Linked DNA regions of Coturnix japonica. The protein of the gene in region 2 purifies or fractionates together with the protein of the main gene of each other region. This does not show direct contact. Links are inferred from orthologs where the notes say so. Each region holds a gene or a part of one and is shown on either strand. Other genes may lie near its edges.

What was found.
Region 1: the proteins of LGALS3 (region 2) and SLC12A7 purify together in Homo sapiens (affinity purification with mass spectrometry; 3 studies listed by BioGRID and IntAct, counting the BioPlex papers as one, with this or other methods). This does not show direct contact. The link is inferred for Coturnix japonica from reciprocal best matches to the Homo sapiens genes LGALS3 and SLC12A7.
Region 3: the proteins of LGALS3 (region 2) and SLC15A4 purify together in Homo sapiens (affinity purification with mass spectrometry; 3 studies listed by BioGRID and IntAct, counting the BioPlex papers as one, with this or other methods). This does not show direct contact. The link is inferred for Coturnix japonica from reciprocal best matches to the Homo sapiens genes LGALS3 and SLC15A4.
Region 4: the proteins of LGALS3 (region 2) and SLC12A2 purify together in Homo sapiens (affinity purification with mass spectrometry; 3 studies listed by BioGRID and IntAct, counting the BioPlex papers as one, with this or other methods). This does not show direct contact. The link is inferred for Coturnix japonica from reciprocal best matches to the Homo sapiens genes LGALS3 and SLC12A2.
Region 5: the proteins of LGALS3 (region 2) and ECE1 purify together in Homo sapiens (affinity purification with mass spectrometry; 3 studies listed by BioGRID and IntAct, counting the BioPlex papers as one, with this or other methods). This does not show direct contact. The link is inferred for Coturnix japonica from reciprocal best matches to the Homo sapiens genes LGALS3 and ECE1.

Annotation. Positions count from the first base shown.
Region 1 is NC_029517.1:72,929,563-72,933,633, forward strand, and holds the start of SLC12A7 (solute carrier family 12 member 7), read right to left. Parts: upstream 2,802-4,071; 5' UTR 2,666-2,801; coding exon 2,515-2,665; intron 827-2,514; exon of another isoform or gene 812-826; coding exon of another isoform or gene 799-811; intron 1-798. UniProt on the Homo sapiens protein: Mediates electroneutral potassium-chloride cotransport when activated by cell swelling. May mediate K(+) uptake into Deiters' cells in the cochlea and contribute to K(+) recycling in the inner ear.
Region 2 is NC_029520.1:51,128,936-51,133,249, forward strand, and holds the start of LGALS3 (galectin-3), read right to left. Parts: upstream 2,804-4,314; 5' UTR 2,682-2,803; intron 1,659-2,681; 5' UTR 1,655-1,658; coding exon 1,637-1,654; intron 1,299-1,636; coding exon 1,035-1,298; intron 811-1,034; coding exon 722-810; intron 564-721; coding exon 395-563; intron 236-394; coding exon 80-235; 3' UTR 1-79. UniProt on the Homo sapiens protein: Galactose-specific lectin which binds IgE. May mediate with the alpha-3, beta-1 integrin the stimulation by CSPG4 of endothelial cells migration.
Region 3 is NC_029530.1:3,153,869-3,157,382, forward strand, and holds part of SLC15A4 (solute carrier family 15 member 4), read left to right. Parts: intron 1-2,730; coding exon 2,731-3,026; intron 3,027-3,514. UniProt on the Homo sapiens protein: Proton-coupled amino-acid transporter that mediates the transmembrane transport of L-histidine and some di- and tripeptides from inside the lysosome to the cytosol, and plays a key role in innate immune response.
Region 4 is NC_029547.1:50,498,803-50,502,316, forward strand, and holds part of SLC12A2 (solute carrier family 12 member 2), read left to right. Parts: intron 1-595; coding exon 596-736; intron 737-1,427; coding exon 1,428-1,475; intron 1,476-3,065; coding exon 3,066-3,188; intron 3,189-3,353; coding exon 3,354-3,465; intron 3,466-3,514. UniProt on the Homo sapiens protein: Cation-chloride cotransporter which mediates the electroneutral transport of chloride, potassium and/or sodium ions across the membrane. Plays a vital role in the regulation of ionic balance and cell volume.
Region 5 is NC_029536.1:5,760,361-5,763,599, reverse strand, and holds part of ECE1 (endothelin-converting enzyme 1), read right to left. Parts: intron 3,018-3,239; coding exon 2,893-3,017; intron 2,805-2,892; coding exon 2,589-2,804; intron 2,356-2,588; coding exon 2,164-2,355; intron 1,661-2,163; coding exon 1,518-1,660; intron 1,445-1,517; coding exon 1,330-1,444; intron 1,127-1,329; coding exon 1,016-1,126; intron 844-1,015; coding exon 745-843; intron 663-744; coding exon 585-662; intron 212-584; coding exon 108-211; intron 1-107. UniProt on the Homo sapiens protein: Converts big endothelin-1 to endothelin-1.

The DNA.
Region 1 (4,071 bases), on a different chromosome or scaffold from region 2:
AGACTGGTTCTGAACTTTTGTGCAGGAGCTGACCCTTCACTCTCTCTCTCTCTCTCTATATATATATATACATACATACACACACATCATCTGCCTCAACAATTTCCTTGTCTTTCAGGAGAATTCATGCTTAAATATGAATGCAATAACTTACTTGAAGATAAGCAGGTTTGTCATTGATACTCCTGGTAACTGGAGGTCTCCAATTTAAGAACTTTTTGTAGGAGTTACTTGTCATATTCTTTTGTAAATAAGGCGCTGCTGTTGCCAGGTAAATAACATCATGGGATGCTAGTTATGCTCTGTTATGTTGAATGGCTAATGAAAAACAAATTTGTATATACCTGTCAAAACCCTGAAACTGACTGACAGACATTCACTACTGATATGTGTAAAGATAAGGGGAAAAAAGCCAGAAACTCTCAAAAAACTTCATTTACTACAACACATTCCTCTTTCTTCCCTGCTTTTACCAGTTATTATTTCCTAACCACCCTTCCTTTGCTTGTATGGAATTACAGTGACACTGAGCAACACAAGCACATACAAATTCCTCCTGCTACTCTGTAGTTACCAGGCTCCAACCTTCAATTGTGTTGCTCAATTGATAAACCAATTTCCACACTTTTGTCCCTCATTCTTCATCACAAATCCTACTTTAGACAGTACTATAATCCAACCAAACAGCCACTCACCTAAACTTCACCCTTCTTCACACAAATACAGGGATCATGCAAAAAGAACACTTCAGAATTTCATATGTTTATGAAGGAGTGAAGTAAGAAAATCTCAACTTACTCTGTGATTGCATAGGTTATCAGTAGAGAACGCCTGAATAAATACACAGAATAGTTGATAAGTATCTCGATAACAAACCACCAGGAATATTTTATTGGTGATTCAATGGCTTACAGGCTGTTTCTACTTCCTTCCAAAACAATTAAAAAAAAAAAAAAAAAAAAAAAAAAACACACAGAAAAGAACCAAACACAAAAGAAACCACTACAGCAGACAAGTCAGTTCCAGAATGATTACTCATCTTTTACGTCAGATAATTCAACTAAAACAGATAAAATTCTAGTTAGCCCAAACAATAAGATCATATAGGGCATATAGACTATGGGTGATCTGAAGAGAAATGTTCCATTATACCTCTTTTCTTACTCCCATCCCGGCTCTTCACTGTATCCTCCCTCCACTTTGTTACAGCTCTAGTAATTGTCATATATTTTTGCAGCACTCATTCATCTCACTTCCAAGAACAGAAGCATGTTTTCCTCCCACTGTTTGAGTTTTTCTGCCAGTTTAGCATAAGCCTTTAGATGGGCTTAATCACGGTACCTTTTAGCTGCCACTGACATTAACAAAGCTTGTATTTAGGATTCTTTAACATTCTCACAAGAATGAGCTAAGGATAACTATTTGATTACAAAGCATTAATTTAACAATCTTATGCATTACAGCTTTACACAGTACACACATCCATATAATACCTCAAGAAACATTAAGCATACTGCTCATTTCCTCAACCCATGAATCTGAGTACAGCAGTTAGTCTGACTTACTGAAATTAGACTCAGAACATGTTTTGACTGTTCAAAATACCATGTAAGATTCAATCAGTTTTCATGCTGCTAGCAGCAGTTCAGGGACCATACTTGGAATTACTGCTGCAACATGCTCTGGAAAGAGGAAGTGTTCAGGGCTTCTCAGTCAAAGGAAGAGTTATTGCTTCCCCAGACAAGCCTTACTGCCTGAGTGAGAAAAGAGCTTATTTAACCCACCACTGCTTGTAGACAAATATCCATCCTGACACACAACAGGCTACCCTGAAGAGCGTCCTGCATACAACATTACAAAGCTTCACCTCAGGCTCCCTCCTGCTCACCTTGGTAACTTCAGGGGTGAGGCCTAGCAGAAGGCAAGGCTCCTAACACAGTACTGCCAGGCAGCAAAAGCCTACCTCACCTAATAAGACATAGATGCTGGTGTAAAGGCGCACAGCTGGCCCTGAAACAAACCAGGTACAATTACACTCTTCTCCACAACCAGAAACTTTCCCTCCTGCCTCTTTCTCTAGCAGGACTTGACTTTTAAAAAGAGACATATCTTTCCTGCCTGCGGCGCTGGTTACTCCTGTTCTCGGTAAGGCACGAGCAGACGCAGAGGGATTATCGCGCTCCCCGCTCTCCGAGGGCCGCAGCGCCGGTCCACGCTTCGCAGCGCCCCTCCCGAGCTGACCCGGGAGTACTTCCTCGTCTCGGCCAGCGGCGGCTGCAGCAGCGCGTGGAAATAGAAACTCTCAGCCACCTCTTGCATTGGACTTTCACCCTCTCCCAAAGCGCAACTTCCTTACCTGCGTAGGCAGACCCGACGCCACCCTCTACGGCAAGGAAACGTATCCGCTCTAACAGTCGGCACGGGCCCCCCGGGAGAGACTCGGCCCGCTTCACACAACCCAGCGGCACCGGGAGCCTCGCTCCCTCTAACGCAGAGACGCGGCGCTGCCCTCACCCAAGTGCCTGATGCCGCCCTGCTCCCCTCTCTCACCGGAGCCCCGGTCCCTGTTGTCCTCTTCCTCCTCCTGTCGCCACACATCCCGCTCCGCCGAGTCCCGCTCCCCGCCCTGTGCCTCTACCGGCACTACGGTGAAGTTGGTCGGCATAGCGCGCCGCCGAGCCGCACACGATCCCGGAGCACACAGTAGCACCTCCTCCCTCCCAAGGTAGCGGGCAGGGTAAGCTCAGCGCTACCGCCTCCCTCACGTGAGAGCCGTTTCCTCAGGCAGCGGGAGGTGGTGGCTTAGTGCCTGTCACCACCTCCTACCACCACCGCCCCCTTTCTTTACTGAAAGCGCTTAGGCCGAGGCTCTTATGGAAAAGGCGGGGGCCGCTTGGGAGTGCGTGCACGGGAAAGGAAGGCGAGATACGCCGAGGTACTGGCAGGAGTAAATAGGTCCAGCTGAGTGCCGCTGTGAAAGCGGCCTGAGGAGGGTGTGTCTGTTTAAGTGCTTGAAAGCTAAACTGGATTATTTAGTTTTATTTGTTTGCTTTCTAGCTATGGCTATTGGGCATGGAAAAAAAAAAGCTGCTTCTCCTGTGTCAAATCTTGCCTTATATATGTGCCTGCAGCACTAGGACTGCCACACTGTTGCTTCTCAGCAGCAGACAGAGCCTATTTTTCTTTGCTTTCCTCCTTTCCCAGCAAAGCACTCTAACAGAGCAGAAGGATCCCATCGTTATATACTAATGCCTTTTGTAAGAGGACTCAGGTCTGTGGGTCCCATACCTCAGTGGTATACCTACCTAACACAGCAATTGAGTAGGGTCCCATACCTCAGTGGGACCACAGCAATTGAGCAGGGGCCTCCAAAGAAGAAGGTGGGGAAAGCAATTCTGGCCATCAAAGATGGTAGTGAAGTCATAGATGTGGAGGCAGTAGGGCTCATGGCAGGTCAGCAAGAAAAGAAGAGGGAAAGAGACAGGACAATTGGATATTTCATATGGTCTTGGTAGATCTGCCCCCATCCAAACTATGGTATAACTACAGCAATGAGAGTGTAGCAGCATGAAAAAAATAACTTTGTCTTAGGAGTATCTTTCTCCTGTACTTTTCTGGACTCCAGAAAGTGATTGGAATACTGCCTTCGTTAGTGACAGTAGATTAATAGTGTTATTAATTTTACTGCAGAGGCAAGGGTATTTTGGAGCACGTTTTACTTTAACTTCATCATGGAACAGTTGATTATCAAGATTAATAGTACTAAAACCAGAAACAATTATTAATTTTACTGACATGTAATTTAAAAATATATATAAACAAATAAATTAATGTACAATGAAGATGATAAAAACTATATCACAGATGGTAGAATGCTGAGAAATTAGGATTGCAGTGTTCAGTTCTGATTCAACCTGATACAACTTCTATGTATATGAAAAGTCAACAGCTAAAAAATGAGAAACCTTGGAACAAACAACTTTTGAATGAACAGAGGGACTGATTTCTTTTGAAGCTTTCTTCTGTTGTAAACATGGAGATCCATGTGATGAAGAAAAGGTGTAATTCAAT
Region 2 (4,314 bases):
AAAGTAATCACCCAGGAAGGCGCTGCTGTCACAGCTCTCTGAGGAGTGCTGGGCTTGTGTTAAAGGCACAGCTCAGTGATTAAATCATGGAGGTCAGGACGCTGGTGAGGGTGATGTCCCCAGCGATGCAGAGCTTGGTCACCTCGTTCAGCCTCTTCTCACGGAAGTTGAACTGCAGCAGATGAGCATCGTTGGCTGCCACCTTGAAGTGATCCCCCTCACAGAGCACCTGGAGCTGGAATAGAAACATCAAGTGAGCCAGAATGGAACCAAGGAGCACCGGTCACCTTTGCTGCACTGCAGGAGCCTGACAGCAACCTGCCCCATGGTGACAGCACAAAGAATGCAATGAGAAATGGGAAGAACAGCTTTTCTTTCCTTCTTTTATTGTTACCTTGAAGGGGGACCCAGGTTCAAATGGGAACCTAGGAGCTGTTCTCTCCTCCTTCCCCCAGTTGTTGTTGATCATTGAGTTACAGACAATGACCCTTTTGTGGTCTTCGTTGAAACGGGGGTTGAAGTGGAAGGCAATGTCTTGGCCCCTCTTGAAATCCAGCGAGAACCTGCCAAGGCAACAATCAAAGAGCTGCTTTTTCAGGTAACGACAGAGCAGTGCTGGAGGATTTAAGAGACTCTTTTGTGTCACGTTTGATTTCAGAGAAGCTGGATGTCATTCAGAAAGCGAACTCTGCCCCTAAACACTGCTGCAGCCCGTCTGTACCTGTTGGGATTTGGGTTGATGGTCCCGGTGATGGTTATGAGCAGCCGAGGCACCAGGCCTGATGGCAGGGGCAGATCGTAGGGGACTTTCTGCAGAGGACAGGGATGTGGTGTGAGCACAACAGCAGGTTAACGAGCAGCACAGGACTGACTGTCAGACAAGGGCTGGGTGTTGGCGTGACAGCAATGTGACAGCAATGTGACTGACTGCTCGTGCAACCTGCTGAGGACATTCAGCTCCAGGTCCCTCCCACAGCCCAGCTCAATGAGGAACTGCTGAACCAGAAACCCTTGAAATAGGACAGAGCTGTTACCAGTGGAGCGGATGGAGTTCCAGAGTATGGTCCTGCTGGTCCTCCAGGGTATGGTCCTGGTGGTCCATGATGTGGTCCTGGTGGTCCATGATGTCCTGGAGGTCCATGATGTGGTCCCGGTGCCCCCGGGTACGGTCCTGGTGCTCCAGGGTATCCAGCACCTGGGTACCCAGGGTACGGTGGAAAGGCCCCAGGTCCCGGGGGCTGGTTCCAGCCCTGGGGTGGGGGGGCACCAGGGTTGTGAGCAGGCAGAGCATCGGAGAGCTGGGGATGGAGGGGAGAGGAGGAGGGGGAAGAGAAGCAGAATCCAGTGGGGCTGCCAGCACATGGCCTGCATGGCCTGCACAACACCACGTGCTGGTGCTGAGAGCCCCAAAGTCCTTGAATGCACCTTGATTGGTGTTACACGGATTGGCAGCAACGTGGAATCATAGAATCACAAAATCATTACGGTTGGAAAAGACCTTCACAATCAGCATCAGCCCTCAGTGCCACATCCCCAACTTCCCAAACACCCGCAGTGATGATTTCCCCACTGCAGGTCCCCACCTCCATGCAGTGCCCCCACAGAGCCCTGTGTGTTGGAAGGAGCCGATACTCACAGAGAAACCGTCCGACATTGTCCTATAACAAAAAAGACAAAGGATGGGAAGTCGTTTTATTGCCCTCCCAGCTTACACGGCTGGTGGTGATTCACCATCTACACCATAACCAGGCCCAGAGGTGCCTCATGGTTCCAAATCCAAAGAGCCCGGCCTGCAGCTGGGATGGGATGGGAGAGGAGGGTCCTATAGGGGGACCCCCCTGTGCCATCCCTATGGGGACACGTGGGCTGCAATGGGATTTACAGCCACCCCAAAAGGCGAAGCTGCGCCGTGCAGAAACGCTGCGGCCTGAGGCTGAATTGCTGCTATCAAAGAGTGCATTCATGAGCAAAGAGAGAAGGGGGGGAAATAAACGGGGAGAGGCAAAAATGGGAGGGAAAAAGGAAAATTCCGAATGGAAAGTGGCAAAGTTCTCTTCTAAAGCAACACTGAGCAACACCAAGGGCTGAGTAACACCAAGGGCTGAGTAAACCCAGCCGGGCTGCTACAGCAATACGGAAATCAAGCTGAGTTTCCCCAGCACCAAACTCTTCCTCCAGCAAAATGCAATGCAGAGCCTGCGTGACTTCCAAGCAGGGACTTCCAAGCAGGGACTTCAAGCAGTGACTTGAAGCAGTGACTTTCAAGCAGCCCTTCGGGCACCAACTGGCAGCGATGACTTTCAGCTGCCCCCACTTTGCCGTGCAGGATTTTGCCCTCTGCTTTTCCCACCCCTCTGCTTCCCATGGTGCAGGTCGGGCCTCTCCAAGTTGGGCTGTCCCAGCTCGGCCAGGCAGGTGCCAACGAACCCCCCGAGTCCTGAAAGTCCCACTTTATAATTCATAGAGCGGTTAAGGCTGGAAAAGACATCTAAGATCATCGAGTCCAAACCGTGTCGACACCCGGCTCAGCCTTTGGGAGAACCCTTCATTGGGAAACCATTTGGGTTCAGAAGCAAAGCAACGTGCAGGATGGTGGGCAAAGCCGTACAACCCAACTGCCCAGGGGTGGCAGCTCCGTCCAACCCGGTACCCGCAGTCCCAGAGCTCCCCTACTCCCCTACCTGCAGCTGTCGGGCCGCGCACCAAGGCGGGGTGTCGGGCTCTATGTTGGGGCCGGGCAATATCCCCACCCGGAGCTGCCCGGCCCCGGGGCGGAGCACAGAGCACGGAGCATTGAGCAGAGCCCAGCCCCACGGGCAGCGCAGCACCACGACACCCGCGGCGTCCCCTCCCAGCGGTCTGAAACGTCACCACATCGAGCACCGAGGGCTTGGACGCATCGATGGTTCCGGCTCATTGCGGGTCATCACCCACCCCGACAGCGCCCGGCGTGAGTCATGGGATCATAGAGCCATAAAACCAACAAGGCTGGGAAAGAACTCGGAGAACGAGCGGCAGCCGATGGCCCAGGGCAGGAGACCAGCACAGCGGGTTGGATTCACTCGTGATTGATCAGATGGAGCCATGGCAGCTGTGCAGTGCTATGCAGTGCTGTGCAATGCAATGCAGTGCTGTGCTGTGCTGTGCAGTGCAGGCTGATGGTGCACAGCCCAGGATGGGGCTCTTTTCCGAGAGGTTCTCCTGTTTTTCTCCTCCTGCTGCAGTTACACAACGGCCACGGTGTTACGAAATCAGAACTGAAAACAGGAAACGGAATCTGAGCGTGGCTCCGTTCCTTCGTTCACCTGAATGGGCACAGGACGGAGCTGCGGGGCTGATGGGTCGGACCGTGAGGGCACAGTTTGCTCCCAACCCCCCCGGGTTTCTCCCATCGCATCCTTTGATCAATCCCGAATCAAACCAGAGCTGAGCAGTGCAGCTGAGCCCTGTGTGCTCCCCCCGCCCCCGGCGCTGCTTTCCCAGGACATCCCGGCACCGCCGCACCTTAAAGCAGCGCCCAGCACTCCGCATTTCCCTCTAGGAACGGCCCTTGATAGGCTGCCCTGCAATCATCCACGGAGCTTCAGCCTGTTAAACTCCGTTTATTGAGGGGATTTGGCGTGATTGCCTCGTAGCGATGTTTGCTGTGCGGCTGCCAGCTGGGTCAATGGGCTGCACAGCTCAGGTTGGGAAAGGGAGGAGAGGGCAAAGAGGTCGTTGAAGATGAAGAAGTGCATAAAACCAAGTGGGGGATGTGGCTCTGGGCAGCCTGGGCTGCTGGTTGGTACCTGCACACAGCAGGGTTGGAGCTGGATGGACATTATGGGCCTTTACAACCCATTCTGTGATTCTGTGTGTTTCTGTCATCCCTGAGGACACTGAATTCCCCCAGAGGCAAAAGTCCCCACCTGAATGGGAGAGTTATTTACATGGGCTTAAATCACATCAAACCCAGAAACTGCTGACTGGAAATGAATGATTCCCATCTATTTTATAGGGCTGTTTGGATTTTAGTGAGCCCATAAAACTGCAAACCATCCAGGCTGGCAAAAACCTTCGAGGTCATTGAGTCCAACCATCAGCTCTAGCAGTGAACCCCACCTCCCTGCACCTCCAGGGATGGGGAGCTCCATCACCGCCCCAGTGCCTGACCCAGCCCATCTGCACCAAGAAACTCCTCCATGGCCAACCAAAGCCTCTCCAGCACAACTGGAAGCCGTGTTCTCACACCCCGTCATTTAACACCTAAGAGACCAAAAGCTCCTCATTGCCGACCTGCTGCCTTTGTAGCTCCTTTCTGCTGGGCAATAAGAG
Region 3 (3,514 bases), on a different chromosome or scaffold from region 2:
ACTTGGGATTCTTTAGCATGAGAACTGTGGTGGTAATTGCATCTCATCTGACCATAATCGGTGTAATATAAGTGTTTTGTGTTCAAAATCTTGGCTCTGAGAAGCATTCCTTACTGTTTTGAAATCCAGTGCTGTCTAGGTCCAATTATAACACTCAGCATGCCGTATTGATTTTCTTTCTGCATTTGGATTAGCTACATGTAAAGGATAGTTATCAGATATATCAAGAAAATGACCGTTTGGACAGCAGAAATTTCAAGGCTTAGGCTAAACTTTCTTTTGCAAAAGTTATGTTCGATGTGTTGAGAACAGCAAAACAGTTTTATTTCCCCTTTAGAGGCCCACCTCAGTGCAGGCAGCAAGGGCAGCTGGTCAACGATTGACAATGCAGCTGTGACCAGAACACTTACAGTTACTCATTTTCTGTTATTCTTTGGGTTTGGGGTTTTTTTGTTGTTGTTACCTTCAGCAATCACATTGTGGGCATTAGATATGGCTGTTATTCCTTTGAGCTGGGGCACCTTTGAAATGGTTGTAGTACATTTAGTGCTTTTTAGGCATTGCTGAGGATTTAAAGCTTTTCTGCTGTGATGGGGTCAAAAAGGTTAAATATACCTATTTTGACTTTCAGCATAGGGATATGGGACCAACTTGCAGGACAGGTTTGATCCAGGACACACATCATTCTGGTGCCCCGTGTGTGCATCGCTTTCCTGCTGCAGCTGAAGGGAAGACATTAAGAATATAATGAAGCTGGTGGTGTTGGTACCACAAGGACAGTGCTGCTGTGCACGAGCACCAAGGAAAATAAGCAGAGGGAAGGGCAGATTCTTCTTTCTGCTTGGATGATTGAAAATAATGCAGGCAAGCATAAAGGGAAAAAGAATTCCTGCAATTTTGGGAAAAATGCTTGTCCTTGCTAAATGAAAATGAACTTCAATATGTTTTTCTTCTTGACCATGTATTAAAATGTATCGCCTACAGTATTAGTAACAGAAGAGAGAAACAAATATTTATTGTTCATTCAGTGAACACTTAAGAGAACAAATCTATCTTGTGCTGTCACGGAGTTCAGGTAATAGCCAACAGGGGAAAGCAGGATGTGAACTCTTTTCTTTGGAGGTCTGTGGTATATCTATGTTCTTTTTTGGTGACTATCTCAGAAAGGATCCTGGAGAAGGTCAGGGAAGTTCCAGGGAAGAGCCACAGTCACGGTCAGTGATTTCTGTGCAAGGAACCGTGCAGAAGTCTATAACTTCCTAGAACTACCTCAGAAAAGGTAGCTAAAAGGAGGATATAAGCAATTTATGAAAATGAAAGGGGTAGAAATAGATCAGCGGTGGGATAAATCTCAGCGAGCTCCCTTCTGGAGGTAGGGAACACAAGCAAGGCTAGTATGAGGCAGGTTCAGCATGGATAAATGATGATGTTTGCAGCACGTAATTACATGGTGATCTCTTTGCCACAAGCTGTTATGGATTCTAAGAGCTGACCTGGGTTCAGGGGGCAGGCTGGACAAGTTCAACAGGGGGGAAAATTCAGCTGCAGGTCATTAAGTAGATGGAGGCTATACTTGGTTTGGCAAATTTGTCAGGAGCTCCAACTTGGAGGCTGGGATAATACTTGATAGAAATCCCATGCTGTGCTTTGCCTGTTTTTATATTGTACCAAAGCTTGCTTTCACATCTTTGTTTGTCCTTGTGTAGCCATAAGAAAGGTCATTTGTGAGAGAGGATGGGAAGTCTTTTTCTTTTTTTTTGCAGGAAGTGTAAGAGAACTGAGACTTTATCATGAAGAAATTAAAACCTTTGTCAAAAAGGTTGATAATTCATTACCCAAGTTGGAGCACTTTCTATGATGTAATTCTTTGCTAATACCTTCTGTCACGTGGGATCTGGGAGAAATACCTAGTTTAATATACTGCTACACTTGATGACCCTTTAGATGAAGGAATAGGTACCAAACTAACACTGGAGAAGGGGAATTTCTAAGTTGCAGGCTCTGAGATTGTATTTGACTTGCATACTTCAGTGCCTAGCAATGCTGTGAACCATGCATAGGAATAAGTGCTTTAATATTTCTTTTGTTCAGTTTGCTTAAATGATACAGTAAGGTTTCTGCACCACTGAGAAAGTTGAAGCTATAAATCAGAGCTGGCAACGTTAAAAACGTGTTTCAAGACCTAGTTTGTTTTCTGTATTGCAAACTAAACGCAAATCTTTTCAAGATATGGCAAAATAAGGAAGGGAAACTTGAAATTAGAAGTCATCAACAAGTGACTCAGCAAGCCCAGTGCATGGTACCTAATGGTCAATGCTAATGGCCTTTCAGTCATAAAACGGTGACAAATATGGTGTGATGGAATCTTTTGTAGACAAGTTGATCTTTTTTAATGTATTACACATTTTAACTTGCATAATTTCTCTTACATCACAACTTATGAGTTGCGCTGAGTTCTTGTGACTAAATCACATGGGGCGACTTATGGTAGGCAACAGAGAATAAAGAGTGATGGTAAAAACTGTGCAGGATGATTCTGTAAGGTAGAGATGTCTTATTTATGTTTGAGAAACGCTTCAAGCCGAAAAAGAACACCGTGACCTGGGCTGAATTGATAGAAGGGAAGGTATTTAATGGGGTTTTCACTGCCTGAAATCTCAGGCAATCTGATTTAATAAACACTCTTAATTTCCTTCAGAAATTGAACAACTTGTTTTTAATTTTTTCCAGGTCAAAGATCGAGGTCCAGAAGCCACAAGAAGATTTTTTAATTGGTTTTATTGGAGCATTAATTTGGGAGCTATTCTCTCTCTGGGAGGAATTGCTTACATTCAGCAGAATGTGAGCTTCGTAATTGGATATAGTATCCCAACAGTTTGCATTGGAATTTCATTCATGGTTTTCTTATGTGGTCAGAGTTTCTTCATCACAAAGCCACCTGATGGTAGTGCCTTCACTGACATGTTTAAAATTCTCGCATATTCGTGTTGCTCAAGAAAAAGACATATGGAACATTCAACTAATAGGTTTGTAACAAGCTCTTTGGTATAGTCTGAATTACAGTGAATCAGCTTAAGAACTGAAACTAACTTGCACAGGCTAGCTGGAAGTAAGTCAGGAGAGATTACACTAGAATGTGCAACTTTGCTTGAGAACTGTTGCTGAGAAATTTGGTTCCTGGGGATTGCATTGTGGAATCACTGGGATGAAAGAGAGATGTGTTCTGAGATCATTGAATCTCCATGCTGCAATGTCAAGTCTGCCATTTTCAACTGAGTCACTGAAAGTGTAATATTACCCAACTTTGCTGCTTCTAAACATTAGTGAATGTCTTGAACTGCCTAGATACGTTTATGGGGCACTGCCTGATTTTAAAAACACTACTATCTACATTCAGTCGTTTCTTATGCGGTTTGTTGGGTAGCTGAAATGTATACTGGCTTTTTGCTTTCCAAGTGGTTATTTCACTCTTAAGAGATGACCATGGCATACTGGTGGCTGAATTAGGTCACTG
Region 4 (3,514 bases), on a different chromosome or scaffold from region 2:
GTAAAAATGCAGTGCTTTTGTGGTGTGTTTCAGATTTAACACATCTTGTCAACATTATGTTTACACTGTCTGGATTTCTGTGCTTGCTGGTAACAGATACCAAAATCCAGTACTTCTAAGAGGATTTTCCTCTTGTGGGAAACTTAACCACAATGTGAAATACTTCTAGCAGTTATACTACTCAGTTATATTTAGCTCCCACTTTCAAATTCTATTTAAGCTAGAGGTCCTGTCATTACATTGCTACACATCATGTTAATGGTAATGAGCACAAACATGACATTTGTCCTAATTCAGTGTTTGGTAGCTCTGCTTGATATTTAGCCTTCAGTAATGTATTCAAAGCTTAAAATTTTGGAAGTAGAAGGAGATTAAAGCTCTGTTCAGAGCAGGTGCATTTTTTTGTACTCAGAAGCTGTTCATTTGTGGTAGAGGTTTATTTTTGTTATTTTCCCCCTTTGCCATAGCATGATAGGGGCAGTGGGATTGAGCTGTTTAGCTAAATGAAAACCATCTAATTATAGTCACAGACCTCCATCTTATACTATTTGGGACAAGTCAGTGGTTTATAATGCATTTCTTTGCTTTCCCAAAGAAGAGTTACTGTCATCCCAAGAAAAATCTCCATGTTCCAAGGATGTGATAGTGAAGGTGGATTATAGCAAGAAGGCTGAAACAGACACTTCTGTAGCTTTTGTGCCATCGTCTAGTGAGAGAACTCCTGCTCCACATAGAGGTAACTAGCTAAAGTAGCTAACTGCTAGTTAGCAGTGAAATTTGAGTTCTCATTCTTTCTCTTGTTTCCTCTTCAGTCCCTCTCTCCTTCTGATGTTTTTGTTGTATTTGTGAAACAGAGAAACTGTCATTCTTTTTGGGGTGCTGATATCTAATAGCTCAAATATTTTGCTTACAAGTATGTATATCATATTTTTATGACCTAAATAAAAATGATGATGGCCTAAGGCCAGCACTACCTTTTTTTGTTTCTTAGTTAATGAGATTGAATGCCAATAAAAATTGCTTGGGAATTGGGCCTCACAGCTGTTTGTTAGCAGCATGATTAAGGCTGGTTAATTCATGATGGTGGTTTTCACCTCAGGCTTGAGTATATTTCTATCTGCATGTTAACTAACACAAATCATCTGGGATACTTGACATGACAATAACCAACTTTCTTCTTCTTTTGCAAGTAAAACTTTGGGCTGACTTAACTATTGAGAAATATGATTAAGTTACTATTGTGTTCAAATACAAATTATTCTCAGAACATGGTAGACCAAACTCGTGTGGTTTTCTTTGTATGAAAATCCATTTCATTTTCATTTTTCTTTTCTTTTCCTTTGTTTTTTTTTTATACACTTGTACTGTTTTCATTAACATCACAGAGGATATTAACCTTTTTATTTTGTATCTTTAAAAATCTCCAGAGGAGGACGAGGATGGAAAGACTCCAACACAACCCCTGTTGAAAAAAGGCAGGCATTTTTCACCTTTTTGTTAAATCATACTTTCACGTTGTTAATTTCAGTTTTCCTTTTGTACTCCATCCTACACGTATATTTGAAAGACAGAAAAATATCAGCTTTGCAAGCTCAATTTGTTTCTTCATATTTGCTTTGAAACTTGCTTCATCTGTGGGGATTAGGTGTGCTCAGGAGCCTCCTAAGTTATTCATGTCTTAGGTATTTGTCGGAGTCAACTTGATTTGGGTACAGTAGATGTATTAATTATGTAGTGGAAGTGCCTAGTTGGTCTATTCAGTCATCTTCTAAATCTGTATTTGTTGCTTTGAGTTGTTCAGTAGTTTGCAAAGCAAAGGATAGTGTAGCCAATCTGTGAGATTAACATCTGAAATAATGTGAAGTATTCATTCAGATTAGCAGCATTTTCAGAGGTGAATTTTCACCTAGTTTATTTCAGACTTTTTTGAGAATTAAGCACGGTTTAGTGGGGGAGGGGGGGGGGGGGAGGTTCTGTTTTTTTGGGGGTTTGGTTTTTTTTTTTGGCCTTACCTAAAAAGCATCTTGTCCTATTTGATGTTTGCTTCATAATTTCAACATCTAGAAACCCTTGTTTTTTAATAGCATAATGTGAGATTACGCCCTAAGCCACAAGATGGCAGTTTGGAGAAACTCCCAGTAAGCAGTAAAGTAGAATACTAGTAAGTCAGGTACAGATATGCTCTAAATTTCAGAATAACTCCCAGCTCTTGTTAAAACTAGAATCTTAGCTAAGGGGAGGGAGTTAATTTGTCTTTTGTCTTTTTCAATTGTTATTTTAAAATATATTTTCATTAATGTAATAATGTATTAATGTAATTGAAAAAAGCCAGTGTTGTTGTCTTCTCAGTAAGTCCAATGACATCATTGCAGAAAATAACCTGTTTTGTGCTTCAGAGCCTAGCAAACACAAAATTACTTTTGCAGGTTATTCTGACGTTTAGAACTAGTTTTCTTTTCTCTTCTTGAAGGAAGAAGAATTTGAGGAAATATCAGTGCCCGAGGGAGCGGCATAGAGCTGTGTCAGGGAAAGGAGGGGCAGCTGGGGGTCAGGAAAAGGTTGTGCATCAGAGGGTGATGGGCGCAGCCCTGAGCTACTGCAGCTAAAGGACCACTTGTGTTTGGGTGGTCGTTTGTGGAGCCAGGGTTTGTGAGTCCTTTCCAACTTGGGATAATCTATGAAGAGCTGGTATTTCCTCATAAATTAGTATCTACATGAATTTCAGGGAAGTACTTCATATAAAAGAAGTAGCAACAACAAGTTGCTTAAAGTCCTGAAATATGTATGAAATGTAGTTGTCCAGGCAAATGAGTATATCAAGACCTTGCAATCCTTTATCAAATGTCTGCTAAATGATTAAGAGGTTTAAATTTTAACTACTGATCTTAGGATTTTCCATGCTCCTTAAATGTAGCAGTTTCTATCCATTCAGTTCAAATTTGGAGCTTAGGGAATAATGGTTTAAGTAAAAATGCAAAATATCAAAAACCAAATGCAAGATTTTAATATTATTAACTAAAACACTTTAAAATGAACATTTGTGGGATTTTTTTTTCTTTTTCTAGATTGGAGGACCCCATCTTCTCCTTTAAATGTGGCTGACCAAAGACTTCTTGATGCTAGTAGTCAGTTTCAGAAGAAACAGGGCAAAAGCAATATTGATGTCTGGTGGCTCTTCGATGATGGAGGTAATATACTTTATATTTTAAAACTGCTGGAAAGAATTACTAAGGTGAAGTGATTTGAAAATAATTCTTAATAAATACTTTTCAGATTGTATATATACATGCTGCTGTTAAATTCTTATATTTCTGTATTTTCTGACACATTCCTAAATTCTGATCAAAATGCAGGTTTGACACTGTTGATTCCTTATCTTATTACAACCAAGAAAAAATGGAAAGAGTGTAAGATAAGAGTGTTCATTGGTGGAAAAATAAACAGGATTGATCATGACAGAAGAGCGTAAGTTTACCTTCAAAATTTTCATTTCAAATGCTAGAAGAACAAGTTA
Region 5 (3,239 bases), on a different chromosome or scaffold from region 2:
GCTGCAGCGAGTGAGGAGATACTGTGATCCTTCCGCCAACCACAACAGAGAAGCAGAGTATGGCCATGCCAAGCAGCGAAGAGGACAAAACCATGACAAGGACTTACTGGTCCCGGTTTGGCGGTTTCCGGAGCTGGTCAGCTGTGACCCGGGCTGAGAAGTTGTAAAATTGCATGACATTCTCAAAGTAGAGGTCAGACACGGCATCGTACTGCAAAAGAGCAAGGTGTGAGCAGCACGCAGCGAGGGCCCAGCCCCACTCCTCCCCGCATGGTCACATCTGAGCCTCTGGAGCCAGCTGAATCTCATTTCTCTTCCCCTCAAACATCTGCAGAACTCCAGGAGGACCATGAATCACCATTACGGAAACCAGCTCCTCAGTGTCTGGGCAGGGATCCCAAGAGGCCCGGCTATCCCAGAACCAGCTGCAGCAATCTGGGAAGTCTCCAGAGAGGGTCCAAGGGCACAGCGAGACCCTTTGGATGTGGGGTCAAGGCAGCCCTGGGGCTGTGGCCATGGGCTCACACACCCTGCACATCCTGGAAGGGGAGACCCAAGGGACATCATCTATCAGAGCAACTCACATCGTTAAAGACTTTGTCCAGCTCCTTAGGGTCCAGGATGAACTTTGGGTAGCCTATCATGTTGTAGATGGCATCCGCCTGGGGTGACAAGGATGGAGGTGCATTTGGTGCCAGGTGGGAGAATGGGCTGGTCTCCCTGCTGCTGCTGCCGGCACCTTACCTTCTCTTTGGCCGACTTCCTCGTCTCCTCGTCCATCCACTGCAGGTTCTCCAGGCTTTCCTCGAAGGCTGTTTTAATCTCTGCGATCATTTCCTCTGCCTAGACAAAAGAAAGCAGCACGTTTTGGCCTGGAGAGCTGGCTTCCCATTCGAATAAGTCCAAGGACTGACACAGAACCCTTTGCACAGAGGGGAAGAAGACTGGGATAACACAATGGGCAGCTCTCTCAGCATCAGGGCCTCACGCTGACTGTGGGGTAGTGGGGACGCACCACCTGCTTGCTGTCCTCTGCAAAGGTCGCCTTGACAAACGTGGCCCCCAGGGCAAAGCCCAGGTTGTTGTCCGTGTCACTGATGCAGAACTTCCAGCGTGGCAGGCAGGTCTGCAAGGGCAACAGGAGGCACATGAGTGGGAGCACAGCATGGCTACAGCTCCCCAGTGTTCACACTATGAGATCACTATCACCAACCAGAGCTATGACCCCAAAACCCACCCCATGTCCATATCTGGGTGCAATGTGATGGGGACTTTGCTAAAAAATGCTGTTTTGTAGGAATGCAGTTACTTGGAGGCATCGGTACTCACCTTCTTCGTCCCATACATCACTTCCATGAACTTCTCTTCCGCATCCTGGAAGCGCTGGTCGAGGAAGGGGCTGGTTTTACGCACCAGGTTCCAGATCATGTAGTTGTTGAGGAGGCTGTGGCAAGAGGCAGTGAGCAGGGAGCAGGATGTACACCAGGCACCTCTCCATGCAGGTGGGGGGCTCTCACCATTTATCTGTGGCCAGGATGAGGTCAGAGACCTGCTCCAGGTACTCCTTGGCATAGACCACCACGGGCTCTGACTCATTGAGTTCCACAGGATAGAAGACCGTAGAGAGGAAGGGCATCCAGTCCACAGCTGGTGCCAGATCCTGCAAAAGCCATGCTGCTGCTACGGACTTAAGAGCTATCAGCAATGGTAGCCTCTTCCAGAGCTGGTGGCTGTTACATCAGCTCTGCTTGATGGATTTAGCTGATTTTGAAGAAACCATTTCCCATAGCAGCAGCATCCTCCAAAGGTTGCAGGGAACTAAACAATTTCCTCCCACAAAGGAAAAGAAAGCTGGGCGGGTGTGAAAATGCTGACAGTGGGGTGGGGGGGAGTCACATGATGGCCCTTTGGGGACCAGGGGAGGTAGTTGGGCTGACGTCTGCAGGGCAGCACAGCCAGGAGGGCGTTTGCGCCTCATTGGGATGGCTGCCAGTCCCAGCAGCACTCTGGAGTCTGGGAGGAGTGGGTTGAGGTGGGGGAACAGGCCAAGCTATTGCACAAGTACTTCCCAGTCAGGCCTTCCCTAGGGGAGCTGCATCACCTCTCCACCAGCCCTGCTCCAGGCTGGGCTGCAGCAACACAGCAGCCCCACTGCGCTCCTACCTTCAGCTCTCCAGCTGTTATCTTGTGGTAGATGACCTCCTCATCCCGGTGCTTCTCCTGCGGGATGGTGATGTTGGCCAGCGCTGTCTCAAATTCCAATATCTGCTGCATTTGCTGCCGTGTTGACTCCTCATCAGTGCCACCCAGAAACATGCCCAGCTGCACCATGTAGTTCAGGTATCCAGCGAGCACCTGTGAGGGGATGAAGTGTCACCCATAGCTCAGTGTGATCAGGGCACCCAACAACCCCAACCCTCCCACCCCTTCCAGCCCTTCCAATCCTCCCAACTCTCCCAGCCCTCCCAACCCTCCCACACCTCCCAACCCTTCCAGCTCTCCCAACTCTTCCAGCTCTCCTCACCCTTCCAACCAACCTAAACTCTCCCAATCATTCCTATTCTTCCAACCCCCCCCACCACCCTGACCTTCTCATTCTCTGTCTTGTTCAGGTAGTAGTCCCGTGACGGCAGCCCCAGCCCTGACTGGTCCACCTGGATGACATTGCTGTTGGAGTTCTTGGAGTCGGCGCTGACGTAGACGGAGAAGAACGGTGAGACGCGGTAATGCGCCGTCACCTCCCGCAGAGTCACGTTGAAGTTGTCCCCCCCGGCCCAGGGCCCAGTGATGTTCCATCCTCCCAGCTGAGGAGAGACACTCAGTCAGGCACAGCACCATGGGGATGTGTGACAAGGAGCTGGCAGCTCTTGGTGCCCGCACGGCAGAACGCACCTTGGCGATGAGCTCCATCAGCGGGGCAGCGCGCAGCTCCTCGATCTTGCTCTCATTCATGCAGGCCTGGTAGTAGCGCTGTGCCTTGCGCTCTGCCTCGCTCGACACATTGGCCGTGGTGTTCTCTGCAAGATACACCCAGGGCGGCTTGTGGGGGCACACAGCACTGGTGGGGGGCTGCAGAGCCCCTGGTCCTCTGCCGAGTGCTCAGCCTCAGCTTAGACAACAGCTCCAAAAGAATGCTACGGATCACTCCGTGTGCCCCTGGGACATCCCACAGCCCCAGCCCTGCCCCTGCCCCCTCTCCAGCAGCTCCAGTTCTTTGTAAGACAGAGATAAAGAAAGAA